Lytechinus pictus: one gene and its partners. Each later gene encodes a partner of the first gene's protein in a complex. Links are inferred from orthologs where the notes say so. Each region holds a gene or a part of one and is shown in the gene's direction. Other genes may lie near its edges.

Evidence for each region. Proteins that work in one complex are often made in the same cells at the same time.
Region 2: transcription initiation factor TFIID subunit 4-like (region 1) and transcription initiation factor TFIID subunit 5-like share a complex: the UniProt entries of both Homo sapiens proteins name them as parts of the TFIID basal transcription factor complex. The link is inferred for Lytechinus pictus from reciprocal best matches to the Homo sapiens genes TAF4 and TAF5.
Region 3: transcription initiation factor TFIID subunit 4-like (region 1) and transcription initiation factor TFIID subunit 8-like share a complex: the UniProt entries of both Homo sapiens proteins name them as parts of the TFIID basal transcription factor complex. The link is inferred for Lytechinus pictus from reciprocal best matches to the Homo sapiens genes TAF4 and TAF8.

What each region holds. Positions count from the first base shown.
Region 1 is NC_087246.1:38,471,319-38,478,347, reverse strand, and holds the start of transcription initiation factor TFIID subunit 4-like, read left to right. Parts: upstream 1-4,017; 5' UTR 4,018-4,051; coding exon 4,052-5,335; intron 5,336-6,832; coding exon 6,833-7,029. UniProt on the Homo sapiens protein: The TFIID basal transcription factor complex plays a major role in the initiation of RNA polymerase II (Pol II)-dependent transcription.
Region 2 is NC_087245.1:16,414,825-16,421,813, reverse strand, and holds the start of transcription initiation factor TFIID subunit 5-like, read left to right. Parts: upstream 1-3,971; 5' UTR 3,972-3,976; coding exon 3,977-4,147; intron 4,148-6,989. UniProt on the Homo sapiens protein: The TFIID basal transcription factor complex plays a major role in the initiation of RNA polymerase II (Pol II)-dependent transcription.
Region 3 is NC_087250.1:981,663-989,270, forward strand, and holds the start of transcription initiation factor TFIID subunit 8-like, read left to right. Parts: upstream 1-4,590; 5' UTR 4,591-4,716; intron 4,717-5,072; exon of another isoform or gene 5,073-5,465; intron 5,466-7,608. UniProt on the Homo sapiens protein: The TFIID basal transcription factor complex plays a major role in the initiation of RNA polymerase II (Pol II)-dependent transcription.

The sequences.
Region 1 (7,029 bases):
AAGGGGGGGGGGGTAGTTTTGAAAGACTGGTCAATCGCAGGGTCTAACGTATTTAGGGTATGTTTTTTTCAAAGCTTTTTTTAAAGACTATTGAAACGTGTTTAGGGCATGCATGTTTTTTCCCCCAAGCTTTTTCCCTGCGGTCATATTCTGGCGACAACTTGTTTAGGGGTCAAAATGTGTAAATAAATCCCGCGAAAAACTTGTTTAGGGGGTTATTTTGCACACAGAGAAAAAAATGTTTAGGGGGTGTTTGGTAATAATTTGGCCACGCGTGTGTACAGCAATTCATTTGACTGCCCCCCCCCCCCCCCCCGGGCATAATTATGCTGATGAATCAATTCGATAGACAGCAGTCTGTAATAAAAGACTGCATCAGATCAACAACAGGTTTTGGATGGTTAAAATACAGGGAAAGAAAATGAAGCGAGTGAGTACTGGCAGCGTGCTAACAATGTTTTTTTTTAATCTAAATTCATGTGGGCTATAATTTGCCACTAAAACTCTTTAAAATGAGGGCAAACAAAAGAAATAAGGAAGGTAGTACAAACAAAAAAGTCCAAGATAAAGTTGAGAAGAGAAGGAGAAAGAAAGGAGAGAAAGGAAAGTAAAAAAAAGAGAACATAGAGAAAGACGGAGAGAATACGAAATATTATATTTATTCTTTCTTCTCTTCTTTGTTTTATTTTACCTTTTTGTTCTATTTTTTTTTCAATTTTTTTCTTCTACCGTCTACCATTTCATTTTTTATTTTTCCTATAGATTTATCTTCATGGGAGGGGATTCACCTCCTGTGCATCAATTTCCCCTTCACTGCATATTTGACATTCTAAGCTTTTCCTCCTCGTTTCTGAAAAGTGTCACTGAAGTGTCCCTCTTTATTATGAAGCAACATCTTTCTTTTTTTTAATAAATATTTTTCTTCCCTTCCCAATCATGCCCCACTTCTCTCCCTTTCCCTTTCCTTCCATTTCCCTTTCCTCGAATCCATGCATATTTGACATTCTAAGCAATTTTTACAATCCTCAACAATTAACTTGAGTACGAAACTTCCCGAGCTGAAATCTTCGATACTCTGACATGAAAATGAACCCCTATTAAGGACTCTCTGCAGTGACCCATAAGGATGATACATATCTCACTCAAATTGAATGGATGTACAGTAAGTACCATATTTTGATAATGCGACCTGAAAACTTGACATTCTTCAGCCTTTTTTTTTTACTACTACTACTAGTACTACTACGACTAAATACTACTATACTATACTATACTACTACTATACTACTACTACTACTACTACTATACCACACTACTACTATACTACTATACTACTACTACTTCTACTACTACCACTACTATGGGGGCTAGTCAAATATATATATCTGTACCAAAAACCGATTGAAAAAAAGTGGTTTTGAAATACTGGTCATGGTCAATCGCGGGGTCAATGTAGGTATTTTGTATGTTTTTTTTTTTCCAAAGTTTTTATTTACGACGACCCAAACGTAGTAACGTACTTAGGGTATGTTTTCCCCCAAACTTAGTCCCCGAGGCTTTTCCTCCTCGTTTCTGAAAAGTGTCACTGAAGTGTCCCTCTTTATTATGAAGCAACATCTTTCTTTTTTTTAATAAATATTTTTCTTCCCTTCCCAATCATGCCCCACTTCTCTCCCTTTCCCTTTCCTTCCATTTCCCTTTCCTCGAATCCATGCATATTTGACATTCTAAGCAATTTTTACAATCCTCAACAATTAACTTGAGTACGAAACTTCCCGAGCTGAAATCTTCGATACTCTGACATGAAAATGAACCCCTATTAAGGACTCTCTGCAGTGACCCATAAGGATGATACATATCTCACTCAAATTGAATGGATGTACAGTAAGTACCATATTTTGATAATGCGACCTGAAAACTTGACATTCTTCAGCCTTTTTTTTTATCATTAAAAAAAACCGTTTCTCAGTATACATAAACAGCGCTAAGCGCGAGATGATGTTTTTAGATTGCATCGGATGTCTGGTTTTTTTTTGGAAAAAAAATGGACATTAAATCTGATTCTATGCACTTTTTTCAATCACAAAAGCTTGTCATTTGCTCATCAAATAATGCAAGCGCAAAGCGCGAGCTGTGAATTTTTGATATTCCTACAAATAAAGAACATGCAAGCTGTGTATCTCAGTAGACAATTAATGCGAGCGCGAAGCGCGAGCCGATATTTTGTTATATTACATAGGTTATGTAGATTCGAATCAGTGATAGGTCAATACACCATCACGTGACCATAACTGCGAGGATCGCATTTGTTATATTCTAGGTTTTGACGTCACCTCAGGGAATATACTGCGTTGTATTGTCAATTGCGGCGTTATATTCACTAAGGTGACGTCACTCGCTGCATACAAGTTGCGTAACAAGGTAGTTATTGATGTACGCGCTAATGTTAACGCGTCGATTGCATGAAGTACGCGCTTGATGTATTTAAAAAAAAAATATATTATGACGTAGATGGATTAGAGCTGTAGCAAGAATTTCGGGTTTGAGCCAGATGATGAATGCAATTCTGATGGCGAATCCACATAGACTATATAATATAACAGATATTGCCTGGTCTATCGTTTTAATAAATAACATTTCAACTCCCCTCCGAAGCTATAATTTTCCCTCGGGATAATATTTTCCCTCAGCGCTGCGCGCTTCGGGCAAAATATAATCCCTTGGGAAAAATATAACTCCGTCAGGTAGAGGAAATGTTATATTCAAACTCTAGGTAGGCAATATCTGTATAATATAGTACCGAAAGGGAACATTTAATCACTGTTCAACATTGAAATGAGGTAAATTTTGAAGAGGATATGGATTTCACTAAAATGATGCGAACGCACGATGTGCGAGCTGGAACTATTTGGTGATTAAAATTTAACGACTTACCACTACTACCACTGCTACCATACTGCTCTTAATTCTGTTACTATATATACTACTACAACAACTACTACTACTACTACTCTACTACTATACTACTACTACTACTACTACTACTACTACTACTACTACTACTACTACTACTATACTATACTACTATACTACTACTACTACTACTACTACTACTACTACTACTAGTACTACTACGACTAAATACTACTATACTATACTATACTACTACTATACTACTACTACTACTACTACTATACCACACTACTACTATACTACTATACTACTACTACTTCTACTACTACCACTACTATGGGGGCTAGTCAAATATATATATCTGTACCAAAAACCGATTGAAAAAAAGTGGTTTTGAAATACTGGTCATGGTCAATCGCGGGGTCAATGTAGGTATTTTGTATGTTTTTTTTTTTCCAAAGTTTTTATTTACGACGACCCAAACGTAGTAACGTACTTAGGGTATGTTTTCCCCCAAACTTAGTCCCCGAGGCTTTTCCTCCTCGTTTCTGAAAAGTGTTCGGGTTCTTATTCCCTGTTGTGGTATTTTAACCTTAAATGCACTAGGGGGGGGGGGGGGCATGCCCGGCAATACCCATATAGTTTTGTCTATTTAAGGTTATTGTTAGCAAGTAGACAAGTACTTGTTTATTTACAGGGGTCATATTCTGGAGACAACTTGTTTACGGGCCAAAATGTGTAAATGAAGCCCGCGAAAAACTTGTTTAGGGGGTTATTTTGCACACAGAAGAAAAACTCGTTTATATATTGTTTAGAAATATAATTGGTCACCCATACAGCAATATATTTGACTACCCCCCCCCCCGGGGGGGACTAGTACTAGGACTACACGGGGACAATCTAATATCTTTTAGTATGTTAACGTAATTTTGTAATGTTGAAAGTTTTTTGGGGGTTTGGGTGAGCGTTTGTTTGGGGTGGGGTATGTGTTGGGTTGGACAGTAAGAAAATGAGAAGCAACGTGCAGGAAACGGGCTATTTATTTTCGCGTGCAACAGTTGAACGCGAAAATCCATCCCATTATAGTTACATTGCGCATGCGCTATTTCATTCATTCGCAAGCCATGGTGGAGTGAAGATGGCGGGTGCGAAGTCCATTGAAGATATATTTTCTTCTGAGGTTGACGAAAAGGAGGTATCTGCGTTGGTTGGATCTCTCGTTACAAAATTAGCCCCACAGAATCCCAAGGCTGCGTCTGGACCATCACAAGATGCCACAGTGACAAGGAATCATGTCAACGATAACTCTTCCGTACATGCACAAACTGGACCTGGCGGGCTAACAACGTTAAAACAAGCGGAGCCGGGGATTTCAATACACGCGAATGCGACAAGACAAACCATGCAGGATTCCCATTTGGGCACCACGGGCGCACCAACGACGAAGGGTCTCAATCACGAGAATGCGCCTGGCAATATCCATGCAAATGACAATGCAACTCAAGGGAATGGTCAAAATAATCATGGAATAGGATCAACATCTATCGCTGATATTGTGAAACGAGACTCACAGCCACCGGCAATTTCAAACATGATGACGAAGCCGCCAACGGCTACGACCGTTTCGGTGAGCCAACAGTCACCTGCGATTGTGGCACAGATCACCGGAGCGGGCCTTCAAAAACCAAATGAACCGCCGATCAGCAGACCACTTTCTGGGAATACAATGGGTCAAAATAGAACTTCGGTTAACAATGACCAACAAATTGTTAAAGTTGTTTCAGTGCCTAGCATGCCAAGTGGCAGTGCTGTGCAAAATACAAACTCTTCAAAAAATGAACATGGTGCAACTGCAAATATGAATTCTATTTCTATTTCTAATCAAAATGTAAGCTCAGTCTCAGCTGGGTCTGCCAAAGAGCAGCTTCTCGTTAGGCAACAGACATTACCAAGTAATGATCAATCAGGTGCAATGAAACCAAGGATTGTTGTTCAGCCAAGCATAGCAGCAACAATTCAGCAAGCAACTTCTGGAGTCGCTACAATATCTGGTATTCCATCAGGCAACATGACACTGGGCAATGCCAATCAGAAAGTTGTGACAATTAATGTTGCCAATCCAGCCACCCAAACAGGAGGCAGACCAGGGCAATATGTGGTAAATACTGTTCCAGGAAGTAAAGCTGTATCGCCTCAGATTATAACACAGACAGTACGGATGCCCACTGGGCATCATGTGATTGCTCCTAGAGCACAGCTTGGTGGACAGGTTCAGATACGTCTGCCTCCAGGCACCACCTTGCCACCTGGAGTTGTATTAATCAATAAAGGAGGAACAGTACAAGCTGTCATGGCAAATCCAGCTGGCATTCAAGCTCACGTAGCAGGAGCTCCTGGAATGACAACATACCGGCATGTCCAGGTACAAAGTTTTCTAAATAGAAAGGGGGGGGGGTAATTAATACCCTGGTGTTATCTTCTTGCCCATTTGAGTCTTTAAAAAATTGAGTAGTCTAGAACCTGTCTCAATCATCTCTATGCCACTTTAAAACATCTTGTGGGCGATTCCATACGTGTCGTACGGGACATTTTGTCAACAATTTCAAGTCTCTTAGCTGATTGCTTGAGCAATGAGAAATTATTTTTGGTCAATAAAGTTATAGTGGGTAGTCATGTGAAAAACTGATTACCAACAAAAAATATTTGATTATGGCTTAATTAAGGGCGCAAAAATGTTGTGTGTCGTACGGGACTCAGAAATGTCCCGTACGACATGCAACATTTTCACCTCTAATTCACCCATGGACAGCATATTTTTGTTGGTTGTCATTTTTTCATGTCTACCCAGTAGTACTCTATTAATTACCACAAAACAAATTGAAGTTCTTTGTTTATTTGGACAATAGGTTGAAAAATGTAGCAAAAATCGCTGATTTTTCTAGCATGGAATCGCCCTTGTTTGTCATTCAAAATAATGGAGGGTAACATGGTGCAATCTTTTATGTTAACTGGTGTGTTACCAAGTTATGTAGATCTAAGTGAATTTTCAAATCCTATTTTTTCCTGTAATTCAAAATTTAGTTCAAACTAAAGAACATCTTGTGGTACAGTATATTTTTGAGAAATGGTGCATTGTGATTTTTTTTTATAACTTTTGTTCTCACTCTCATCAAACTTCCTCTTGTAGTGTTTTATTCTTCTTGTGCCATGGGCATGATAATGGATCATTTAATATGTACTTGTACAAGCATTCAGTGACTTGCTTTTGAATAATAAACTGGGTCATTATTGTCATACGGATCTAGTATTCACAATCGATGCATAGTCACAGGAACTTTTTTCTCTGTTCTTATTCAATTCAATTGAAGTTGTAGTTCTAATATAAAGATATAAAATCACATGTGGAGGGGTCATAGAAAGTGTAAAGCTTGTACAAATTGGCTCTGTAAATTACAGATAGATGTACATGTAACTTGCATCAACAAAATGACGAGATCAAAATTTTGAATCATTATAAGAAATGTAAAATCTGAAAGAGAATAGGAAAATAATTTGATTACAATGCAAGGAAAGCAATATACTGAGATACATGTATGTTTGATTCCGAAATCATGCCTATTAAATTTAAAGAGTCACTATCTTCTTAGAATTGGGTAATGAAATCAAGAAAACAAAAGTAAACAACAGATTGTTTAGTTGAAATACATGTATTATGGATTGCTTCTGAGTAAAGTAGTGCTAGTAAGTACCTGTACATTGGCCTATTGATAACTTTCATACATTGGAATCGAGCCAAAGATATCTATGAAGCATTTAATAAATTTTTCATTTTTTGGGGGGGTAAGTTTTACTTTTATTGATTTACCATTCCCAACAGTTTTACTAGAGGAATATAATTCTTTCTATCCTTATATTGCAGCCAGGAATAGTCACCTCTACAGCTCAGCCAGGGAGGGTCCTTACATCAGTTGGTGGGAGTAATGTTGTCAGCAGTCCTCAAGTTACAACCACTCGGTCAGGTTCACCTGTAGTCATTGCCTCTGGAACACCGACAACAGCAATGAGAGGAGCTACAGCTGCGAATGCATCTTCACAACAAACCTCATCATTACCAAA
Region 2 (6,989 bases), on another chromosome or scaffold:
GTTAAGTTTTTTTTTGGCACTATTTTTTTACTCTAAAATTTCATACAAATTTGCATCAATATAGGCCCATTTGCCTCTATTTCATGGCAATGTTTATTTTGACCAATCTCAATTTTCCATAAATTTTTTTAATGAATCACCACGTTTTGCGGCCACAATTCAACAGCCCCCACCCTCTGTTCGACAAAACGCATCATGTGTGCAAGTGCCACCGAATTGCGCTGCACGTACCTCATGCGATATGCAACCCAAAAGTTGCAGCGGCCATTCACTCCCACACAACAATTGGACCCCATGTCGAATGGATGATTGCCATTATAGCATGCAGTCAACTCGATTACTGTGCAATCTCAACGTGGTTGGCTAGGCCCACAGCTGCAAATTGTATAGAACAGATAGCGTAGCGTTCACAGGGCCTGACCTTTACTTTTTTCTTAGGGAGCCAGCCGGGCTCCTCAAGCACTTTTTTAGGGAGCCCGCATGGGTTTTAAGGAGCCCAAGTTTATCCCTTTTTTTTGCATAATACTGGTCATTACCTATTAAAATATTAAAGCACACCATCACGATACCAGTTGTATTTATTCAGGGTAAATCAGATTTTGACACCCCAACACACTTAGACACCGGTCACAAACACATAAGTCAATGACTTTTTTTTTTCATTTTTAATGCCCCCCCCCCCTCAAAAAAAAATAATAAATTCAAAAAAGGAAACAAATTAAATACATAAACAAAATTGATTTTTTTTTTTCATGCTGAATCATGGATGTGGGTTGGTGTGTGTTTGTGTGGGTGTGACTGTGCGGTGGACTTGGATATACATGTATATGTTAAAGAAATTAATTCATCATCTAATTTTTACTCCAAATATTGTGTTTATATCAGTACAAAAACCACACAGGCTAAGTATGTCACATGTAGGCACATGTTACATGTACATGCATGTATACCCTAACTTTTCCTGCAGTTCTTTGAAAACGCAGATCTCCACGAAAATTGCATTTTTCTATAGGGGAGTCTAAATTTGGTGAAAAAGTATTCATCAATAACTTAAATATATATCACAATGAAGAAACCATCCAACTTTATTGGTAGTTTAAAAAAAAAAACCTGAAATGTAAACTCTATCTGAAACAGAAAATCACCATCATTGAGGCCTTTACTGACTGAATTGTCCCCCAGAGCTCAGGCAGAGAGAGAGAGCTCCGACTTGCACAAGTGTCAGTGCGTGCGTGAGTAAAATCCGGCGTCCTCCTAAAATCAGATGTTGCCATGTTTGATGATTTACTGTCTGATATTTACCCCCTCCCTTGAAAAAATGAAACAAATGATTTTTCAGGAATAATTCACTACCGAGGTAAGTTATTTTGGATGTTAATAGGCGCCCTTTTGACAAGCAGAGCCGATGTCTACATGACACAGAATCGTGATATCTCTAAGGGAAATGTGTGCATTGAAAATTACACACGGCGTAAATGATAATGGACCCCTGTACATGCAACTGTTTCTCGCACCGGTGTAGCACGATTCTTTTTTCCATAGGTACCATGTGTGTGGAAAAACGTGGTACAGAAAAAAAGACGCAGCTAAGCAATTTGAAACTCGCTATTTTCGCTATTTTCAAGGTTTTTTATGATTTTGAAAACATAATTTAGACTTATAAAGCGTGGATTAGTGTGCTGGTAAGAAATTGCTTTTTTGGTGGCTGATACTAGAAAATCTTAGGGAGCCCACCGGGCTTTTTCAATTACTTTCTAAGGAGCCCGCAGAGGTTTTAGGGAGCCTTTTGCCACCGGGCTCCCGCTAAAATCGAGCCCTGGTTCAACGCTAGCGGGCATGTACATTTTGCTTATTACATGACGTCATCCAGCCACTGCAGAGAGCCAATTTATGAATGAAAATATAGCAAGCCTTCCATTACCCCACACAGTATTCCAAAAAGTGTGTGCAGTAAATCGACCTAGAATTTAACTTTCCTATATTTAAGATGAATATCTCGGAGGATCTACATGGATTTTCTTGCCAATACTGCACAGGTAAGCGAATTTCGATTACTTCCTGCTTTTCAGTCAAAGCTTACAAATTAGCCTCGATATGACATTGTGTTAGTTGGAGTTTGTAGTCTATCGAAACGTGCACAAAGTCACAATTGATTTCCGGGTTTCGGAGCATCTCGTGAATATGCATGAAATTGCCGAGTCTTGATAATTTTCAATCAATGCTGGAGCGATCCGATCACGAACCAAGACCAATTCCGGCGTAGACAATGTGACTAGATATCTTATCGTTATCGATACTTTCGCAGTCCGAGGCATAATTTTGGCGACCACGTAGTCATGACGTGATCTGCGCGATTGACCAATCAGCGGTCTCTGATTCGCTGTCGGGGACGGTCTATCCGTATTACACAGTCTCTGGACAATTTGCCACTGTGAGGCCCTTTTTCCTTAGTTTTTCAGTTCTTTCTTTTTTAAGTTATTTTCAAAATACAATCCTAAATTTGCGAGCTTGTAAGTGAACTTACAAGTCATTAAGTCATTCTTAACAACAGATTTTGGTCTGTTCGATTTTTAGAAATTTTTTAATCAGTGGACCCGCTTCTCAAATTTGAGCCAAGCTCTGGAAATGGCTCAGATTCTGTATTTTAAGGGAAAATTTTGACTTTTTGAAGGGTAGGCCTATTTTGGAGTTCACATCAGAAATCGATTGCACGTGGCGAGTTAGACCAAAAGCTTCGGTCTCTGTTACATGTATGTTGGCTGTTCCGCTGAACTCCGTTGGCTCCACTCACCACATACAGAGACCGGAAGTTCAACTTCTAGCTCAATCTGTACAAGGACTCAATGGCCATATGTTTATGTATTTAATAAGTTCGGATAAGACAGGGAAGTGAAGTTGCGCGACAGCTGAAATCACTGTTTTTCCCTTTTAAGTTTATTTTTCCCTGTTTTGGTGCATTTCAGGCCAAAATAGAATATTTTTTATTTTGGTAGCCTAGTTCTTTTTAAATATTATGTTTATGAAATGAAGTCAAAAATCGATGAGCCCCGTCGGAGGGATTTTGCATTGTTAACCCCCTGCTGCATGATACTTGATAGCGAGCCGTCCGTGTAGGCCCTAGGGCTAGGCCTACCCTACGAGAAAAAATAAAAATGTTGAAAAACTCCTCGACCAGTGTGCCCGTGTCATGCGCAATTGAACGTGCTGGCTTATCATGAAATGACTTTGGCTTGCATGTCGAATTCAATTTCAAAACACGTTACCATACTTACGCCGTCACGGTACCCCATCCCCCCCCCCCCCCCCCCGAAAAAAATATTTTGAATTCAAACACTCCCAGTCGAATGGTGAAAAGGGGTACCCAATCTCCCCAATTTGCAATTGATCTGACTGAAGTGAAAGAAAATACATAAGATTCTAATCTGGGCTTTATTTCACATTCGGCACATACACTCGCTCCAGTCTCTCAGGCTCAGCAAATAGCACACCTCAGCTCCACCGCGCTGTAGGCCTAGGCCTACAGTCACTCTAATTCACCACACATCACCTCGTTACGCAGATCAACACGCACCAATTTACACATATAAATAAATGTTTCGAATAAATCTCACCTTATCCCTCATCCTCTAATTATACGTATTAAAACTTCTTTTATAGGTACTGGAAGTTTGAGGTGCTGATTATCCTTCAAAAGAAGGATTTAAACAGATTTGGGAAGCACCGCAGTTGACGAGTGTCAACTGTGAGCGATGCCTAGATAAAGAGAGAGCGTATTGGTTGTAAGTTGCCGATTTAAGAAAAAGAAACACAAACAACACATCATGCGTTCGATGATAAAATCCATCAAAGAATTTTCACATAACCGATACAAATTAATTGTTTTCTTAAGGCAAATAACTTTTAAATGTATTCATGTATATCCATTTATTTCTATTCCATCCTCGAAAATTTTTTTTTTTAAATTTGTTATCAACTTATGTTACCAAAAATGGCGGAACCCATGGAAGAATTAGAGCAAGATTTACTTTGCGAAAAACCTGCTGATACCAATGCTATTGAGGGAAATGAGGAATCGACCGGTCAGCAATCGATGGATAGTCAGACCTTGTCTGCAGTTTTACAGTTCTTGAGGAAAAATAACCTGAAAGTGAGTTCCAGGGTGTCCACCTTTGCACTTGCAGAGATAAAAATCTGTGCTGCAGTGCATTGCCCGTCCCCATGCATAAATATCTGTGTGTGTGTGTGTTTGTTTAACTTTTTTTTTAACTTCAACACAAAAAAAGTTTGTCTGTCTAACTCTAAGTTACATCTGTTTAGCTAATCATTACATTAGACTTGATATGGATTGGATCAAGATATAACTATGGTGTCTGAAGCCACACTGAAAAGTGTCAGCATAAAACAGGCTGATTATTTTAGGGCAAAATACCGGTATGGCACATTTTTGGGGGGAAGTTCAGGCCACTCTAGGCGACACCCCAACTAATAAACTGGGACTCCACTCACGCGCATTTGGGCCGCCCTAGCTTAGAACTAAGCAATATTATCTAGAAATTGTTAGGCCTACATTGTAGTCATTAAATATGTTCTATTAAATAAATTGATAATGTTTAATCGGTACTCACCGGTTCTTTTGTTGCATTTTCAGACCATTTCTCACAATTCTTCGAAAATATTTGCGGCAAATTTTGTCGCCATAGACAGCTTAGCATCCATCTTTATTGATAAATGGAGCGCCCTTTACGATAGTTGTTAATGCCGCGGAGAAATCGTTAGGCATTTTGGCCTGTGTTCAAGGCGTTCTTTCTGTTTTATTTTTTATATTGAAGATTGTGCATTTGTTGAATAGCGCCGTCTACGTCAGGTATGAGATCGAGTGTATAAATAAACTCTTCCAAAATAATTATGATTGCGACCTGGCGCTGTTTAACTTCAATCTCTTTCACCTAAATTAGCGATGAATGCTAGCATTATAAAATATATATTATTAACGTCTGACGAAAAGAATAACCAACCGATCAGCTGCCGAGAACGCGAATCACGTGATCTTCATATCAGCTTCGATCGCGAGTCAGAAGAGAAGAGCAGCTGCCCAGAAAATCAGGAAAAAGCCGTGAAAATGTAAGTTCCCCTTCATTTCTTTCATTTTTTGTTGTTGCTAACGATGCATTTACACTATAAAATTATAATTTAAATAAGAGAAAGGAATATAGCTTGTACTTGTGATATAATATATAAATATCCTGTTCTCAGAGATTTCTAACCAAAAATACTACTGATGTCGCCTATGAGGTCCATACATGTAATGTTGGACCTCATTGGTACTAGGAGTGGTTCAGGCTACTATTTAGTACTAACACTCTAGGCGACACCCCAATACTTACCCGTGTTAATAAATAATAGACTGGGACTCCACTCACGCACATTTGGGCCGCCCTAGCTTGGAACTAAGCATCAATATCAATTTAAAATATATATCTACAAGTTATGTATAACCTATTTACTACTTTGATAATGTTTAATCGGTACTCACCAGTTCTTTTGATGTATTTTCTCAAGAATTTCCACGGATTTGTCCCAAATCTTGCGACAAACCACGTCGCGGTAGACAGCTGTACATTCTTTTTTATTTATAAATAGAGCGCCCCTTACGATAGTTGTTAAGAACGCGGCCAAATTGTTAGGTTTTTTGCACTGTGTCCAAGGCGTTTTTATTTTGTTTGATTTTTTATTTTTTAATAAATATTTTGTTAAATAGCGATTTTTACGTCAAATATTAAATTCATATCACAAAATATTTTTAATTGTAGAAATATATATAATATCATGCAATTATTTATTCTATATATATTTTATAATAGAATTTATAATTGTTGCGGTCTTTAAAAAAGGATAGTCGATCGATTAGGTGATGACTACTCGTATCACGTGATCTGAAAATCAGCTTCGTACCGCTTTGATCGCACTCGACGGGACCGGACTGACTGCCAAGAAAAGATTGAAAAAGGACTCAAATGTAAGTTTCCCTTTATTTTATAACATTTAAAGTATGAGAAGGATTATAGTTAATGGGCAATTTTTTAATAAATGCTAAACAAATGAGGACAAAGCTTGCATTTTTCGAGTAATAATCACTAATATCATAAAAATACTTGGGTGCAGGACTTCTAACCTGTTTTTAACGCATTGTCGCCTATGAGGTCCATACATGTTAATGTTTGGACCTCATTGGTACTAGGAGTGGCTACTAATAGAAAAATGTGATCTGAATTGATTATTAACTTGTGAAGTTGTGTTTGGCATGTATGGAAAGAGAAAATTCAGGGGCTTCTTTTGACAGTAAGGACAAGTTTATATGATCATTTTAAATAAGGATTTAGAGATATAAATTTCAAACCCTTATTTTTGTGTGTGTTGAGATTGCCATTTCTCCATGCGTTTTCTATGGGAATATGAAATTTCTGTTTTGCACAATTTTTTTCACTTTGTCGCAATTTTTCATGGTGATCTGGTTTCCAAATCTATATAAAAATCGTACCATCAGATAGAGCATAAAAAATCCTATTGGACTCTTTATGGACAAGTTTTTGGCATTAATAATAAATTTATAACAGCTCTCGGAAGCTAAAAATTTGTGTGTGTCCATTTCTTAACTACACAGTCTATGGCAGAGAAATTCTGAAAATTGACCTAATTTCATTCTTCTCTTTTGCAGCCAATAATTGGATTTTTACATTTCTGTCAGTCTGAAGGTCATTTCTCTTCAAATCCACAAAGAAAATGTGATATTTTCTTGAAATAAGAAAAATAATTTTTTTCTCCAGACACCCTAATATAACGTTGGGCTCAAGTCTCAGCTCATCTATCTTTAGTTTTCAGTTAATTGATGGCCTGGGCTGGGCTGTCAGCACTCACACTAATACGAGGTTAGGGGGGGGGCACTCAGTATATAATGCATAGTGGGTATTAGACCAAAAGCTTCGGTCTCT
Region 3 (7,608 bases), on another chromosome or scaffold:
TTGTTTGGTTCTGGCGTTCTATTCATTCATGTGGTTTTACTCTAATGAGTGCATGCTGGAAAGCTTCAGTATGTTTGTTTTTAATGCTTCCAATTCTGCAGTACCAAGCAATTAATCAAATGATTTCTTGCTGTTTTCTTGTAGATAGTATGGTATTACATTATCTTGCCTTATGTCATTTGAGTGGACAATTTTTTTTTTCTTGTCATAATTTATTCTAAAGGTCATTGAGGTCATGGTCAAGGATGCCCTTGTCTGATTGACCCTATCTATGTCCTTGGAGATTAATTCTGTCCATCATAATTTTCTTATTTGTTCTGTAATATAGAATGTTCCCTCTAGTAATGTGGCTTTGTTTAAAAAATAATGACATTTGAGGCATGGTATGAATGGGGAAACTAAAGGTGTAAGTGAATCAATTGTAACTGTAATAGGACAACAGGGTTTCAGAATAGGTTCATCATGTAACAGGTTTCTGGGATCAATCTAAAGGTGTTGTGTAAACTTCCTAGTGTAAACTCAGCTTGTGGATGGCATTAATCACCTTTACACTACACCTTAGGTTTATGTGATCAATCTAAAGGTGCGGTGTAAACTACTTAGTGTAAACCCAGCTTGTGGATGGCATTAATCACCTTTACACTACACCTTAGGTTTATGTGATCAATCTAAAGGTGTTGTGTAAACTTCCTAGTGTAAACTCAGCTTGTGGATGGCATTAATCACCTTTACACTACACCTTAGGTTTATGTGATTAATCTAAAGGTGCGGTGTAAACTAATTAGTGTAAACTCAGCTTGTGGATGGCATTAATCACCTTGACACTACACCTTAGGTTTATGTGATCAATCTAAAGGTGCGGTGTAAACTACTTAGTGTAAACCCAGCTTGTGGATGGCATTAATCACCTTTACACTACACCTTCGGTTTATGTGATCAATCTAAAGGTGCGGTGTAAACTACTTAGTGTAAACCCAGCTTGTGGATGGCATTAATCACCTTTACACTACACCTTTGGTTTATGTGATCAATCTAAAGGTGCGGTGTAAACTAATTAGTGTAAACCCAGCTTGTGGATGGCATTAATCACCTTTACACTACACCTTAGGCTTATGTGATCAATATAAAGGTACAGTGTATAAAAGTAACCCAGCTTGTGGATGGCATTAAGACAATTTTACACTACACCTGTATTCAAACAATTTATGTGTTTTATAAATATATGTGCCACCAACATAATGAGGGACCTTGTTCAATCTACTTATTTTCCCTGTATTGACTAGTTGCCTTTCATGTATCAGAGGAAAAATATACAGAGGCTTAGGGCAATACAGCCCCCAAAATGATCAAAAGAAACTTAGAAACTATAAAAGGCTCTCGAAAATCCCCATTCATTGCAATGTTAAAACTTATCAAATGCCGCAAAATTAGGCTTCTTTTTTTTTTTTGCCTGACATGTATATCAAGCAATGTTTGTGAGAATTGAAAATTATTCAGAAATATTCAACTAAATGATGGCTCCTAAGCATGAGGTAGACTAAGGAATATCAATATACCTACAAGTGAGATCACAGGAAATCTGTAACAAAATGAGCCTGATGATTAATGCATGGCGATCAGGATGAAAGGAGAAGTTCACCCTGACAAAAACCTGCAAAAAATTGCAGAAAAAGGGATAAAAGATAGTGGTGAAGTTTTGAGGAAAATTCAATAAATATTAAGAAAGTTATTAGAATTTTAAGTTTTTGATTTGTGACGTCATATATACAAGCAGCTGCCCCCTATATGTTATGTAATATAAAATGCATAAATTTCAATGTTTTAATGGTTCATAATGAATAACTTTGTTCTTTTGGGAGCAGGTGTAATATAATTTGTCTGTTGATATACTGAAGACCTGTACAATAAAAAACATTTTCAATTTTTGAGAAAATGAAATTTCATTGATTTTTTAAATTCATGATACTTGGGAAGCTGCTCGCATATGACGTCACAAATATAAAATAATTGAAATTCAAATAACTTTAAGATCACTGATGGATTTCCCTCAAATCTTCAACAATATTTTTTTATTATTGTTTAGATTTTTACAATAAACCTTTTTGTCAGGATAAATGGTAATGGTAGTGATTGTTACCTGATTGCTGAGAAAGCATCAATGCTTGTAAGCAAAAACCAGAGGACCGATGACGTAAGGTCCTCTCTGAGGGACCTGGTAATGGGGATTGATGCCTTACCAAAGAGTACTAGCACACCAATTGGGAATCGAACCCCGGTCACCGAACCCCGCTCTACGGACTGAGCTATCGCGAGCTAACGTGAAAGCATGATATCACAATTGGGGCGCAATTTGTGAGCGTGACCGGCTAGGATTCTTTATACAAATCACTCTTGTAATTCCTATATTATAGATGGGGATCTGTGTTATTGAAAGAATTAACCTAAATTATTTATTTTTGTATTATGTGCTATAAGTCTTGTACATCAAATATTTTATAGATTTATTCACATATTTATTTCCATATATTGAAGTATTTCCATATTTATTATTTGTGATATTTGTCCACATGTCTGTTCAATTTTTTAATAAATGTATTCAATATGTCAAAAAAATGAACTTCCATATTGAATGTTAATTTATATGGATTTGACAACAAACATGCATGGTGCTTGTGAATTGACTACAACCAAACAAAGAGAAGTGTTTGCTTTAAAACCAAGCATCTCATTGAGAATATATTTTATTGTGATTTTTCACAATACAGCATGTTCCCCTAAAAATGTTAATGTCACTCTAGATGGGTATAATTTTAAAATTACAACATTATATTGTTTATATCTTTACACCTCTAAACTACAATTCATTTCCCAAAAGTGGATGATTTTTTTTCAGGGGCCGCGGAAGCTGATTGTGATTTTTTGTATGGTCAGCCCCCCCCCCCCCCCCCCTCACTTTGAAAACCGTTCCACGGCCCCTGTTTTTGTGATATGGTCCAATGATCACAAATATATGAGCATTTATTCATTAAACATCAGGAAACCTCTTCATCCAAGTTTTATATCAAGTAGTAAGTTTCAGCTAACAAGATTTTTGTGGTTCAAATTATGTCTATTCACGTTCAGCCACGGGTGTGAATCTGCAAGGATATTCTTTTGTTCAAGACTTTGTGATGACCTATTCATTCATCCCTTCTAATGAATAGATGAGATCAAGATAAGATCATGGATTACAAAATTTGTTGTTTTTTCTTTTAGGCCTATAATCAATCAATCAATTTTCATGTTTGATAAAAGATATCGTGCCAAGTTTCTCAAACCTCCATTAAAAAATAAATATAGGCCCGGAAGTTCTGCCCCAAATATCTATAAAAAACAGAGTGAATGAAGATATGATTGGACTACATACTTTTCTGAAAGAAGGCTCATATCTCTGTGTTCGATGGATCATATCACATAAAATTTAAGCCAGTTGCATATAACAAATGCCAATTTACGATTGTAGAATTATATACAAATATGACTTTGTAATTTTCACATTATACTCATTTAAAGTGTCATTAATATTTTTGTGGGACACGCTGTATATCTTGCAAGCTTTATCTTTTGCTTAGTGTGGAAACCATTAAGCTATATAACAAGAACAGGACAACAAAAGATTTTTAATGTGTGAGTTTGTCAAGAAGAAATTAACCTTCTTCTTCTTCTTCTGTTGATTTCCTCCAGTCCTGGAGAACTGCGAGATCCAGTGGATACGCAGAAAAAGTGGTTTGATAAATACATATAGAAACAAAAGAGCAAGGCTCAGGAGGAGATTGGAATAAAGTGTATCACCAGACTGTCTAGTTGTTGTTCACCAACAGAGAACGTTTAACATGAAGCTCATGCAAGAAATGAAGTTGGGGAGCTGAGGCAACAGATATACTAGTTCCATTAGTGTCCAATCCAAGAAGTACAACATTCGTAACAGCTGCTGCGACTTGCCATTGCAAGTAAAATCTGAGTTTGCTTGAACACAGCACACTTTTTTTTAATGAAAATATTATTTTGAAATTATATTTTAAGGCTTTTAACACATGACATTTGAAAATAAAATCTAGCTGCCTTTGATTTTGCTTGCATTTAAAATATATAAATGAGTGAATATTCATTCAATTTCCACAAAAAAAGAACGAATAAAAACCTGTAATGATTAAGAAAGGAATGTAATACCTACATTTATGTGTTATCATGATTTTAGACTATAGAAACTCACTCGATGCGCAAGAGAGGCAGATATAAGAGAGAATGGAGGGGGTTGGTCAAGAGAGAGAATGGAGATAAAGAGAACAGAGGGAGAGAAGTCCGCATGTGCATAAAATGCTTTCCCATCAAAGAATATAACACTTATGATGAAAAGAGTTATTTTGCATCACTTGCCAATGGTGGCACATAATGATATATGCATTTTGGTTAAAAAACAAAAGCAAAGAAATCTTGTCGTAGGCCTACGGATAGTCAAAGTAATATGTTTCAAATGAAATACCTCTTTTTCATTCAAATCCTGGATCCGCCGCTGATGTTTGGTTTTTTTTTTCCGTTCTTCTTTCTTTTTCCATTTTGACCTTTCGGCGACACGGTTTTGTCGGTACGGATAATATCGGAGGAGGCGAGATTTGTTATTTGGAGTCACTTTTATTAGTCTTTATTGTCAGCTTTCAGTCTGAAAGTATTCTAAAGGTAAGCCCATTGATTCCTCCTGTAATTTTTGCCTACGTTTAAGTTTATACCCCTTTCTGCAAGGCAGAGATCCCGCTGTAAGACTGGAGTGACGCATGACGATATTCCGATTATCTTACACAACAGTCCCATTCATTACAATTGCTGTTTGTAAATAAAAGAAACCACGTCTAAGTTTCTTGGGCTTGGCCACCCAAGTGTACATCATTACATGCCGCCGCGCACGGAAAAATTAAGCCATAGAAGTTGTGTGTTGTGTTAGTATACTACTAATAGTAATACTAACCTCGCAATACGTGTGAGTGGGGCTTGGCTTGCCTCATGCACTCACACTCGTGACACTATTCTCGTATCTGTCACCGACACCGTGTAGTGCAGTGTTAAATTGGCGAGATCAATATTAACAATTTCTACAAATACAATCAAACTTTTTATAAAATAAAAAAGACATGCACGGGAAAATCATATTATTGTGCCATACAAAATTATTACATTTGATTTTAAAACTTACATCGTGTACTTTGAGGTCCATAATTAATAATCCATTTTACAGAGACGATCTTGTCACTCGACACTCGTACATCCCCGAAAGAGTTGCCATCTTGAAAATATCGAGTTTCGTGAGATTTGACTTCCAGGTTTTATTTTCTCTCTCATTTCATCGCCATTCGATGAAACATCAAATTTCTTTCTTTGCGAACATGATTTCGAGTTCGAAAAGTTGTTTTGATGCTGGAAATACGAAACGGGTAAGCAAAATTGTGTTTTTTAAAGTGATTTTTTGTTTACATAATTCATGAGTATTTTCAATTTTTGTTCGGCCTTTATTTATCTTTTATTTCTCAGGCGACGTTTTCTTGACGCCAATTAAAGTATGAACTATGGAAGGTTTTTTCTTCGGGCGATGGTAATTTTCCGACTTCACAAATGTGTCGCATATCGCCCTCAAATCTTAAACGCAAGGTGATGTCGGACTAATGAGTCGTAATTTTTCTTGAGTTTGAGCGAGGATGAACTGGCATTAATAATGACCCTTTTGAAATTGTTTGATATGAATAACAATTCGTACCCCTAATGAATAAGAAATGTCGCATTGAACTTGTGCAATGATGAGGTGAATTGAAATAAATGGACCGCACGGATCGCCTATCGCGATCGAGCTCTGTGACTGTGTCGCTAGCTAGTGCATATGGGCAGCCAAAAGGGCCAAAATTAACAATCTCAAAAATTAAGAAACTCTCAGAAATAAATGTAGTATCCCAGTCTTTCAGAAATAAATGCAGCCTCTCAGACTCTCTCAGAAATGAATTATTTTTGTTATATCCCCGCAAAACTGTGATTGTGTTTATTTCCAAGAATTGTTTTTATTCCGTGAAAACATGATTCTGCAGTTGTCTTTATTTCTGTAGTTATCTTTACTTCTAGAGTTTTCTTATTTTTGACATTGTTTTATTTGCGAGGTCATCTTTATCTGAACGATGACATTTATTTGTAAAATATACTGCTATTTCAATTACAATATTTTTTTCTGAATGTGTCCTATAATTCTAAATCTTTATCTATGACTGACAAGATTTATTTCGGAGTTGTCTTTTATTTCTCAATTATATCCATTTCTGGTTAAATACATTTATTTCTGACTTATGTACTAGTCGTCCAAAGTAATGTATTAATTTCTGAATAATATATTTCTGAGATACTACATTTATTTCCGAGAGTTTCTTTATTTTTGAGATTGTTAATTTTGGCCCTTTTGGCTGCCCATAAGTGCAGTGGTCATGGCGCCAGTAGAACACGTAATCTACACGTGGCGTGTGTGTGTGCATGTACATGTGCACTCATCAGGTGTTAAGCCAAAGGAGACAAAGGGGGTATGTTAGCCCCCTCTTCAAATACAGTATATATTTTTTTTCAGCAAATGGGTTACATCAGGGATGGAAGGGGTATACCTCTTTTCAAACATAGTATTGACACGGGTGGATCTAGGATTTTCCAAGGGTGGGGGGGGCACATTTTCCCGAGGAAAAATTTGACCAAAAAAAGAAGAAATGTTTTCAACCAAAAATGAAGTACATTTCTTCTACAAAAAATCTGACAACCAAATAAAAGTCCTCACTTTCAAAGGGGGGGAGGGCACACTTGTGTTTTAAGTTTTAATAGCATTTTTACATATACAAATTTTAATTGTGCCTCTCAAGGGGGGGGGGGAGGGGCACGGGCTGGCTGCCCCCTTGACACCAGAGGTTAGTTACATGTACACCCCCCCACCCAATTTAAATGCATGCCCTGTACATGACCAGTGGAGGATCCAAAGGGGGGGGGGGCACATACTACCCACTCCTTGAGAGCCATTATCAAAAATTTTAATGTAAATAAATTCTGCTTTTACACGTGTAGCCTCCCCCCTTTCATTGGTGGCGGAAGCCAAAATATTTTTTTTTGGGGGGTCCACCTGAAAAAAAAAAAAGGTTATCAACCAAAATTTTAGGGAGCCACAAAAATGTTAGGGGGGGTCCACCTGAATCTAGGGGGGACCCAAGGAAAAAAATTGACAAGCAAAAAAAAAAAATGGTTATCAACAGAAAATTTAGGGGGGTCCGTTTTTTTTACTCCTCCCCCTTCATGCAGGTATATGTTGGACCCGCCTCTACTGCAGCCTTTGAACAAAAAAACTTACACAGTCATACAAATTCAAATTTTTCAAATTTAAGCTTATTGATATAAAATCCTGACATTGAAGGATCATCATCAAAAACAAAGAAACATAAGAAGAAAGAAAATAATAGAGTATTTATAAGCACAACATAGAACAACGAGGTACACACAACATACACAAAACCATATTTCATATTTTGCTCCGCCCCCCCCCCCCCCTCCTCACGCAGATACCTG